3 linked regions of the Cricetulus griseus genome follow. The protein of the gene in region 1 purifies or fractionates together with the protein of each later gene. This does not show direct contact. Links are inferred from orthologs where the notes say so. Each region holds a gene or a part of one and is shown on either strand. Other genes may lie near its edges. The genes, in order: Smarca5, Bptf and Chrac1.

Region 1 (3,650 bases):
TGTATATATATAATATATATATATTATATATATTAATTATGTATAGATAGTTAACAGTCTTCTGCCTGCATGCCAGCAGAGGGCACCAGATCTCATTCAAGGTGGTTGTGAGCCACCATGTGATTGCCGGGAATTGAACTCAGGACCTCTGGAAGAACAGTCAGTGCTCTTAACCGCTGAGCCATCTTTCCAGCCCGACGAATGCATTTTTAAGAATAGTATATTTATTACGAACTAGGAGTCAGACTGAGAATATTCAATTTAAGCTCCTTTTTTGGACAGTGTTCTAGATAGTGTAAATTAGTGACTAATGCTGCCTTCCATGTGTACATTTGTGTAATAGCACACTACATAGATGAAATTTTATGATAAAAATGGAACTTTGTTCACATTAATGTTATGTAATTTGCATTTATAATTTTTTAATAGGTACTTATTTTCCCATATGACTTGTATAGAAAGTAATTGTTCTTTAGGGTATTATTTGATAATATTTTAATCATGCCAGTAGTTTATAATTGGCAAAAGTGATTATCCCCATTTTATCCTTCTCAGGTTTCATGTCAGGTTATGTGATAGCCTTTAGATACCTAGGGATTTTGGAGTAAGAACATTTTATTTAGTTGACAATTCTTAAATCATTCAATTTCTCTTCCTACCAGGAAGTATTTGATGATGCATCACCTGGGAAGCAAAAAGAAATCCAAGAACCAGATCCAACTTATGAAGAAAAAATGGTATGTTCTATAAATGTAAATAGCATTTATAATTAAACTTTTTTAAAAAAAAGATTTGTAAGTATTTATTAGTTTACATATCAGGTGTCTCTAATTGTGCTGTAAAACTTAAAAAAATATTCTTTGTTACTCTTTTTTAGATGAACATAACTTTAAGGCACTTTTACCCACTATGGTTTAGAATCTGATACTAATACTGTACTAAAAAATACAATTGTAGTCCTGTGTCTAAAGTTCATTTCATTGTTGCTGGTCTCACATGTATGTATCATTCCCTGAAAATCTTTACCCTGAGAGACTATTCTCTCTCTCTTTTTTTTTTTTTAACAAATTTTTAAAGATTTATTTATTATGTAAACAGTGTTCTGCTTGTATGAATTCCTGCAGGCCAGTAGAGGGCACCAGATCTCATTGCAGATGGTTGTGAGCCACCATATGGTTGCTGGGAATTGAACTCCGGACCTCTGGAAGAACAGTCAGTGCTCTTAACCACTGAGCCATCTCTCCAGCCCATGAGACTGTTCTCTTTTTAAGAAAAAATAATTATCACAATTGGTTTTATTAAATTAAAGGTGTGTGCTACCAAATCTAACTTGTTTCTCTTTGTGTAAGTAAATTATCATGTCTTTAAAGTATCAGTTACTGAAGGACTTGAGACTTTGTTATTTTCTCTTTTTTTTTCTGAGACCGGGTGTCTCTGTGTAGCTTTGGAGCCTGTCCTGGCACTCGCTCTGGAGACCAGGCTGGCCAATGCCGGCTAAGATTTTATAAGAAACAAGTTTCTTAATAAATTCATTCTCTTGATGTGATAACAGGATATATTCAAAGGGATAGCTAATAAATATGAAAGAAATATTATTACATGACATTCGGTTGAAGAGTATTTATTGATAAGTGAATTACAGACCTGGTACCAATTTAAAATTTGGCATCAGGTTGAGTAACCAGTGTTTTCTTCTTCTGAATGCATTCCCTTGTACAATGTTTTGTTTTTTATGTTGAATTTGAAAGTCTTGTTCCTGCCATCTTATTAAAGGATAATAAACGTAAAATTTTGGAAATATATAAATTCATTTAAGTATTTTTGTAAGCAGGATGTAGAGTATTTTCTATCGATCATTTCTGCCCTCAACCCATTATCTCGTTTCATCTTTATGTCACTAACTAGTACTTCATATATTCATATATCCAACTTGATAAAATGCTTCCAAGAGCCAGAGTCACCTGTGTTGCTTTTCTGGCTTTTCTGGCTTATTTCAGTTATTTGTTCATTTTTATTCTTGAGTTTGTCATGCAGGCATGGGGAAATTGATTTCTAAACCTTAATAAAATGTGTCTTAAATTTTGCAGCAAACTGACCGAGCAAATAGATTTGAGTATTTATTAAAGCAGACAGAGCTGTTTGCACATTTCATTCAGCCTGCTGCTCAGAAGACTCCAACCTCACCTTTAAAGATGAAACCAGGGCGCCCACGGGTAAAAAAAGATGAAAAACAGAATTTGCTATCAGTTGGCGAGTGAGTAGTTTATATTTCATAGTTTAAACTAAACTTGTTTTCTAAATTCTTTTGGGAGGGTGTAGAGACAGGGTTTCTCTGTGTAGCTCTGGCTTTCCTGGAACTCACTCTGTAGACCAGGCTGGCCTCAAACTCAGATCTGCCTGCCTCTGCCTCCCAAGTGCTGGGCCTAAAGACATGCGCTACCATCACCGGGTTTAAATTCTATTTTTTTAAGGTTTTTAATTTATCTTCTGTAGTTTCACAGATATGGCCAGCAGTGTCTTAAGTATCTCAAAAATAAATACAATGACTTTTATACCGTATGTGCTCTATGAATTGTAACAGCGGTGTTGTTCATGGAATTAAGATGTTAACCTGTTTCTTAGAGAGGTAAAAATTGCAGAGGCTAAGTGTGTTAGTTACTGTTAAATAGAAATACATAGTCCCAACTTGAACTTGAATCAGATTTATGTTTTTGTTTTCCAAAAAATAGGTACATTGAGGATATATAATTTTTTTGTGTTGCTACTGGAGATTGAACCAAGGGGGGGCCTCATGCTTGCTGGATGAGCATTTTATCACTGACTTTTAAAATCTACCCATCTTTTTTCACTTTTTGAAATTTTGAGACAGGCTTTTACTGAGTTGTCAGAGTTGGCCTCAAATAGAACTTATGGACTTAAGGTCCTTCTCTGTCAGCACTCTAAGTAGTTAGAATTGCAAGTCTGTAATACCAGCCATGGTAATAAGGGTGGTTTTCGGCTTACTCTGCTTTTCAACTTTTTATTTTATTTATTTTCTTAATGTTTGGGGTACGCTGGCTCTAACCAGGACTTGTACTTAGATTAGATAAGTGCTCCACCATTGAGCTACATCTGTGGCGGTGGCTTAACTGTTAAGATTGTTGTGATGTCATCATTTGTCTACTGGGTTGACATAAGAGTCATTATTAGTTGATTTTTCTTTTATTTTGACAGCTACCGACACCGTAGAACAGAGCAAGAGGAGGATGAAGAGCTATTAACAGAAAGCTCCAAAGCAACTAATGTCTGTACTCGGTTTGAAGATTCTCCCTCATGTATGTTAAATTCATTGAATCATTTGGTTTTCAAAGGCTCTTCCTTTGAGACATCTTTCTTTGACATTTGAATTTGCTTTTTCTATAATTTACAAAGGGAATTCTTAGGAATCTGGATAGTTAGAGGCTGTGAATAAGTTAGGTGTTTTTGATCTGAGATGTTAATATCTTGACTGGCGTTATAGCTGTAGAGTACAAAGCCTTGGCTTTGATCCCTAGAGCTAGAACTGAGAGATGATAGTATGTGCTGTACTTCAGAAGTATATGAAAATGCCATTTAATTTATTATGGTTCTAAGGTACATGTAAAATGGAGTGATTTTGCCTCTTATTTTTC
Region 2 (3,750 bases), on another chromosome or scaffold:
CAAAGTTAAACTAATGCCAAGATCACAGGTATAACTCAGTGGTAGGGCACTTAACATGTCTCAGCCTTGGGCTCAGCCCCAGAAATTTTTTTTGGTTTTGTTTTTTCTTTGTGTAACAGTGCTGACTGTCCTAGAACTCAGAGATTCATAAACCTCTGCCTCCCAAGCACTGGGATTAAAGGCAGGTGCCACCACCATCCAGCTCATGCCCAGAATTATTAAAATAGGAAACACAACACCAGCCCGGTGTGAGGGTACATGCTGCCTTTAATCCCAGTACTCAGGAGGCAGAGGAAGGTGAAGCTCTATGAGTTCCAGTACAGCCTGGTCTAAATAGTGAGACAATTTCAATAACAACAATGACCATAATAATAGTAATAAAGCTCAATGACTTAATTCTTTAATTTTTATGACAGTCCCACTATTCTGTAGCCCAGGCTAGCCTGGAGCTATAGTCCATTTATGACTGGAATTATTGTAAGTGTAAGTCATTATACCTAATACAATGATTTAGTTCTGGTTGTTAAGGCTACAAAAAAATCTAAATCCAAAGCTTTCCACTCGATTCTCTTATCTTCCTATCCATCTACTTTTTTGCTTTTTTAAAATTCTTTTCTTTAATAATTTAATTTTCATGTAAATTGGTGTATTGCCTAATTGTATGCTTTATGAAGATGTCAGATCACCTGGAACTGGAGTTTACAGACAGTTGTGAGTGATCATGTGGCTGCTAGGAATTGATCCCAGGTCCTCTGGAAGAACAGTCAGTGTTCTTAACTGCTAAGCCATCTCTGCAGCCCTACTTTTTTTGTTTTTTTTTTTTTTTTTTTTTTTTCAAGACAAGGTTTCTCTGTGTACCTCTGGCTGTACTGGAACTGGTACTAAAGGTGTGCACCACCACTCCTGGCTTCCTATTCAATTCTAAACCAGAAGTAAAAGAAAAAAAAGAGTATAGTCAATTACCTAACTATAGGCAACTGTTTTTTTTTTTATAAATGCTTTGGTAACAATTTGACAAAATATAAATGAAAAAAAAATAGCCTCCTTCATATAAAGTGACCAGAATTAACTATAGGTAACTGGTCTTTTTTAATGTGTTGGTAAAAATTTGACAAAATAAAAAATTAACTACCTTCATATAAAGTGACCAGCACTAGGTAGGTGGGGCAGCAGATCTCATATTGAATCAGCTAGACACCTCACAACCAACAAAAAATTCCCAGTGTGCCCCCTTTGGACAGAAGTACTGTTTGCAAGGAGCTAGTGAAGTGCAGGCTCAGGACAGGCGGGGAAAGGAGGCAAAAGAACAGAAAGTTCCAGAACTGAAGAGGAAAAGGGGTCTTGGCTGGGAAAACAACAAAGGGCTGTAATTTTTAACCAACCAATTAAGTGCACACAAACCACACATTGCATCCACCCACCCACCCATCCACCCACCCATCCACCCATCCATCCCTCATCCATGAATCTACACACATGCACAGACAGACCATGGAATAGTAACTAGCAGGGCAGTGGTGGCCCACACTTTTAATCCCAGCACTTGGGAGGCAGAGGCAGGTGGATCTCAGTAAATTCAAGATCAGCCTGGTCTACAAAGTGAGTTCCAGGACAGCCAGGACTATTACACAGAGAAATCCTGTCTCAAAAACAAACAAACAAACAAACAAACAAACAAAGGAACAAGTTATTTCTAAACTGTTTCTATTACACTTAATTTCTGGTGTCTGTGGAGTGGTAAGTTTCTAATTTTCAAAAGTAACATTAATAAGATCGATTAAATTGATTCTTGTACAACTAAGTTTTATTCACCATGACAGTGAGTTGCTTGTAACTGCTCCCCAGCACCTTCCCTGGGTTTCTACCTGCAAACCAAAGTGGTACATGGTACTAGAGAAAAGGAAGCACCAAAGAATACAAACAGAAAAGACCCTCAATGTATGCATTGTAACCCCAACGTCCAAGTATCTGGAGAACAGATTTTTTCAGATAAGAACAGAGCCATTACTTTCTGTGAAAGAAAATCTGGTCACTGTTGGCCAGACAAGGCTGCAGGACGCACACAGTAAGAAGGCAGTTCCTCCATCCCAACACAGCAGGCGAAGATGACAAGTCGGAGGACAGAAATCCAAGTGTCAATGATGCCACAGTTCAGAACCACCAAGTAGTAAGATCAGGGCGAGTTAGTCTATTGTATCTTCAGCATGTGCCCAAGGACTTACCTGTGTCCTCGGATGTTAGCACATCAAAAGACTGACGTCTGGAGCAAGTTCCTCTGCTCCTCAGCTGCATACTGAACATGTCTGTTAGAAAGTCCCCTCAGGGACTGGAGAGATGGCTCAGCAGTTAACAACAATGGCTGCTCTTCCAGAGGACCTGGTTTCAATTCCTAGCAACCACATGGTGACTCACAACCATCTGTATCCCCAGTTCCAGGGGCTCCTACACCCTCTTCGGGACTCTGTGTGCACCAGGCACATGCATGGTGCACATACATAAACATTCATACACATAAAAAAAAACTCAAAAACTAAGAACGGAAGAAGCTATGGAGTCCCTAACTGTGAAGCTGGGGACAGGCTGCCAAGTCTGAGAAGCACAGTGTGCGCCCCAAGACTCACGTGGTGGGAACTCTCCCATATGATTTACACTACAGGTAGATATATCTAGATAGGAAATTAAAAATGTTCCCTTCAAGTCCCTGAAGCTCAAGTCTAGTCTATAGCACTCATCAATCGGAAGGGCAGTGCAAGAGAAAGGATTCTAGAAAGACTGACTCAGACAATTAACTTTTTTCACTTGCAAAATTCCTAGGAAGCAGGAATCCGCCACAAGATAACAAGAGCCTCAACTCTCCACCTACTAAAGGAGTGGACCTAGGGACAAAGAACTCTACCAGCAAGAGCATGGGGGCGGGATCTTCCTTCTCACAAAATGTTCTTTTCTCTTTCAAAATGGAGACTTGTAAAACCCTATTTTACCCAGAAGAGATTTAAATAAACCCTTCAGAGACGGTGTGGGACCCAGTCCCCTCCCCCACCCAGGAAAAAACAGATCATCCCAAACCACAGTTCAATTTACATTACGCCCGCTTTTGTCTCCCAGCTTTCCATAGATTCTGAATAGGGCACTGTGGGAAGCATATTAGATTCTTTATCCTCTTCCATGGCCAAAACCGTAAACAAATTCCCTTATTTTGTCCCTCAGAGTCTTTGGAATACAGGGTAACTGAGGCAGTAGATTTGTAGTTTAATTGCCTAAGTAACAAATACTCTGTTGGCTTTAGAAGTAAACCAAGAAAGCCTCAAGACTCCCTGAGGTCTAGCTAGAAGCACAAATTACGCTTATACACGTATCAAACCTCCCAGCCTTAACACTAAAGGCGCTCATAGGGATTGAGACAGGGTGTCTCTTGATGTAGCCCAGGCAATCCTGGAACTCAGAGACCCACCTGCCTCCGCCTCCTGAGCACTGGGATTAAAGGTGTGTGCCACCACTGCGGCTAGGTTCAATTTTTTTCAAAGGCGGCAACATGGCAAAAATCATGAAACTCTTTGCCTCTTGAATCTGTCCCACAGGTGGATAATCCCACACCCAACTGAGCACAAAACACTTCATTCAACAGAATTTATGATTTGTATTTTTTTTTTAGTTTCACTATTTATCAATAGTTCAGTCAATTATGAAGCATCGACATCCGTCAACGTGCTGAAAGAAACCAGCTAGCTGGAAATGATGCTCAGTGGTGGC
Region 3 (3,750 bases), on another chromosome or scaffold:
CAGAATGTACATGTACCAGCTACTCTGTTGGGGTGCAGGGGGAACAGGACAAGTATACAGCTCTGAGTGAGTCTGCTAGCCAGCCATGCATCCTGTGTATATTGTCAACTTCTACAATTCTTCATGGGCTCAAATAGAGAAGGCTAGAACACTTCCCTGTGCCAGGTCCGGGTAAACTGAGGCATCACACAGAAAAATAAAGGAACAAAGAGCCGCTACAAGTTTTTTGTTTTGTTTTGTTTTTTAACCAGAATGTCCCAAAGATTAAGTACCTGAGAGAAACTGAAGGGTCTCTGAGTCCTCTGCAGTGCTGGCTAAGTCACTGTATGTCAGTGCTTTCTTGGTTTTGCCACTGCCGTGTCTGTAGGAACAGGTGGCTAGATACTGAACAAAGAGTTCCTAAACCAACAGTAAAACAAAACAAACAAACAAAAAAAAAAAAAACAGATGAAAGGTCAGGTTGGAAAACTCATCACAGATTTTGTAAGCTTAAAAGTCCATTAATACTTCTGATTGGTTCCTCAAATTATAAGACATCAGTTTATATGAGGAAGAAGCATGCCTGTGTAGAGCAGGAGGCAGCAGGCATTTTCCAGCTGAGCTTAGGTGTGTAACATGGAAAATATTTACAACGATTATAATGACTTTGGTTTCAGGGAAGAGCTGTGCTGCACACTTATCATACCAGCACTCCACAGGTGGAGGAAGCAAGAGGCACAGGAAACCAAGGGCAACTGTGGCTACATAGCAAGTTTGAGGCAAGTCTGAGCTACATGAGATGCTATCTGGAAACAGTGATGAAGTAGGGTGGAGTGTCACCAGCCTTTACAATAAATGGAACAATCATCTACAGTATCTAAATAAATAAATAAACACCTAAAAATGGAACAAAAAACTATTCAAAAATTCTATCTGGACTGCCAAGGACTTTACAGTTTACTGAGACAAGGTATTACTCTGTAATCCAGGCTACCCTTGAATTCCTGGAGATGCTCCTGCCTCAGTCTCCCAAGTGCCTGGATTACAGATGTGAGCTGCCATGTGTCTGTTTCTCCGAAACACATTTTCAGTGTACATGAGTCTCTTGTCCCAAGGTTGTTCACTCATAACTACAGTACTACAGTAAATACCAACCACCTCTGGCAAGATCCGAGGGGTCAGAAATATGGTAAATTGAACCTTTCCCAAGGTCCAGTATTAGTTCAGCTAATAAGTAATGAGAGACGTGTGTGTATAGTTCTTAGATCCTTAATGCTAGAATGAATCTGAACAGAAAACCTGAGTCCCAGGACCACACATAAACAATTATTTCCCCATGATCTTTAACCCCAGCACTCAGGAGGCAGTTTGAGACCAGTCTGGTCTACAAGAGTTAAGTTCCAGGACAGCTTCCACAGCCACAGAGAAACCCTGTCTCAAAACACACACACACACACACACACACACACACACACACACACACACACACACACGAAAGAAATAGGAATGTGTGCAGACTGCTTGTAAATAGTATATCACTATCAAAAAGGAGGACACTGGGAACTACTGTATTTTGTCAGACTCTACTACTTAATGTTGGCTCTGTTGCAAAGTCACAACATTCGCACCTCCCTTGGCCCTAGTGCGTAATATTGTAAAAGTACTAACATTGAAATAGACGAAGAAGCTGAAAACAACCTTAGAGGCAGTTTCCAAGGCCGCTTCTCCTAACAGGAAGGTTCCGGACCACCACTATCAAGACCAAACTTTAAACCAGGAACGGTGGTTAAGAATTTTTAAACCCAGCACTCAGAATGGTGAGGCCAAAACCAAGTGAGCAGGGCTTGGTGGCACCAGGGGCAAGTGGATCTCTTTCGAGTTTGAGGTAATCCCGGTCTACAGAGTGCCAGCATGGGGAAACATATAGAGACCCGTCTCAAAACACAAAATGAATAAAAACACAAAGCGATCTGTGTTGTTTTGGGAGGGGGGCTGTGTGGTTGGTTATAAACTTGTCCCTGGAATCCAACTTGTGACCAATTGTTGCCTGCATAGACCTGACGATCTGCAGAGGCCTGAAGGCTGGAGATCCCTAGATACCCAGACAGGATATACCCTGGAAGCTTCGAGACACCACCCCCTCCCGCGCGCATCACTCCGCGGGAGGCCAGCGACAGAAACCGAGGGCCGCACGCGCAGTGGAGACCCGCATCAACTCCCAGGGAATGACGCGGTGGGCAGGGCGCAAGGAACGCTGGGAGAGGAGTGAGCTCGCAGGGCGGAAGCAGCCCAGAGGACAAGCGGCGCGGGTGGGCGGGGCTGAGACCACGGGGAGGGGGGATACGGAGCGCGCAGGCGCAGGAGAAGAGGCTGGGGCGCGCGGCCCCCGCAGGGCAGCCGAAAGGCTGGGCGTGTGCGGAGCCCGAGGGGCGGTTAGTGCCCGCACCCGCCCTCACGTCGCCCCGCCGGCCGCTCACCGTGGCCTTGGCCGTGAGCACCAGCGCCTCCTGGTTGATGCTGGACACCTCAGGAGAGCTCTTCATGATGACTCGGATGCGGGACAGGGGCAGCGACACGAGCCGCTGTTCCCCGCACTTGTCCTTACCCACGGCCGCATCCGCCATCTTCTGTGTCCCGGCGGCCCGTGATGCCCCGCGCGTTCGCGCCTGCGCAGACGCCGTGTCGCGCGGTGGCCCGAAAGCTTGGGTGACGGCACCCAGGAAGATCCCCTCGGAAACGCCAACGCCGCGGCTGGCGACCGGAAGAAGCTCTTGCTTGCAGGCTTCCTAGTGCGTTCGGGAATCCCCGAGCTGCACCGACCCGTCCTGTCAAAAGCTAAAGAAAGAGAAATGTGTTATGACGCCTCGTTCTAGAGGTGGCCAGCAAGCAAGCATGTGCCACACTCGGGTAATCAGATGAACGGTGTGACCGGAAAAGAGAGAAAGAAGCAACGTTTGGCCAGGGAAGTAGGGAGGAGAAGCAGCCTCTGCCCTTGCCCTAGGGCCCATGGGGATTAGCCTGTTAAAGAGGCGGGTGAGATGGCCCTTGAGTCTCCTGTAATCCCACCACAAAGCCTAGAGGATCAGCAAGGGTTCAAGGCCAATCAAAGCACACAAGACCTAGCCGGGCGTTGGTGGCACACGCCTGTAATCCTAGCACTGGAGAAGCAAAGGCAGGCGGATCTCTGGTGAGTTCAAGGTCAGCCTGGTCTACAGAGCCAGTTCCAGGACAGCCAGGAAGACACAGAGAAACCCTGACTCGAAAAACAAAACAAAACAAAGCACACAAGATCTCGTTGAAGGAGATGAATCATATCTGAAGGAGTAGGAAGCAGATTAGGTAGAATGAAGACTGTTCAGAAACATACAAGCAAGTGGTGGTCCGTAGAGCAATAGCAGGAAGTCGGGGTCCAAAGGTGGAACCATGAGACCATGGACTTCCGCCAAGATGAGTTGTAAAGTTGGGAAAGTTGATGTGGCCTGAATAGGACAAAACTTGTAAATTGGCACCAAATTTAATTGGAGGAACTAAATTGCCAGGGATTTTTGTTTTTGTTTGTTTGGTTTGGTTTGGTTTTGGTTTTTCGAGACAGGGTTTCTCGGTGTTGCTTTGGAGGTTGTCCTGGAACTGGCTCTGTAGACTTCGAACTCACAGAGATCCTCCCGCCTCTGCCTCCTGAGTACTGGGACTAAAGGTGTGCACCATCAATGCCCAGCTAACCGGCAGGGTTTTGTAGCTTGGATCATGTTAGGTTTCAGTGTTGTCTATCAT

What was found.
Region 2: the proteins of Smarca5 (region 1) and Bptf purify together in Homo sapiens (affinity purification with mass spectrometry; 4 studies listed by BioGRID and IntAct, with this or other methods). This does not show direct contact. The link is inferred for Cricetulus griseus from reciprocal best matches to the Homo sapiens genes SMARCA5 and BPTF.
Region 3: the proteins of Smarca5 (region 1) and Chrac1 fractionate together in Homo sapiens (co-fractionation; 5 studies listed by BioGRID and IntAct, with this or other methods). This does not show direct contact. The link is inferred for Cricetulus griseus from reciprocal best matches to the Homo sapiens genes SMARCA5 and CHRAC1.

What each region holds. Positions count from the first base shown.
Region 1 is NC_048596.1:156,507,947-156,511,596, reverse strand, and holds part of Smarca5 (SWI/SNF-related matrix-associated actin-dependent regulator of chromatin subfamily A member 5), read left to right. Parts: intron 1-662; coding exon 663-737; intron 738-2,087; coding exon 2,088-2,254; intron 2,255-3,213; coding exon 3,214-3,314; intron 3,315-3,650. UniProt on the Homo sapiens protein: ATPase that possesses intrinsic ATP-dependent nucleosome-remodeling activity.
Region 2 is NC_048600.1:120,064,127-120,067,876, forward strand, and holds the start of Bptf (nucleosome-remodeling factor subunit BPTF), read right to left. Parts: upstream 2,317-3,750; 5' UTR 2,302-2,316; coding exon 2,223-2,301; intron 1-2,222. UniProt on the Homo sapiens protein: Regulatory subunit of the ATP-dependent NURF-1 and NURF-5 ISWI chromatin remodeling complexes, which form ordered nucleosome arrays on chromatin and facilitate access to DNA during DNA-templated processes such as DNA replication, transcription, and repair.
Region 3 is NC_048595.1:370,762,119-370,765,868, reverse strand, and holds the start of Chrac1 (chromatin accessibility complex protein 1), read right to left. Parts: upstream 2,651-3,750; 5' UTR 2,604-2,650; coding exon 2,457-2,603; intron 400-2,456; coding exon 273-399; intron 1-272. UniProt on the Homo sapiens protein: Forms a complex with DNA polymerase epsilon subunit POLE3 and binds naked DNA, which is then incorporated into chromatin, aided by the nucleosome remodeling activity of ISWI/SNF2H and ACF1.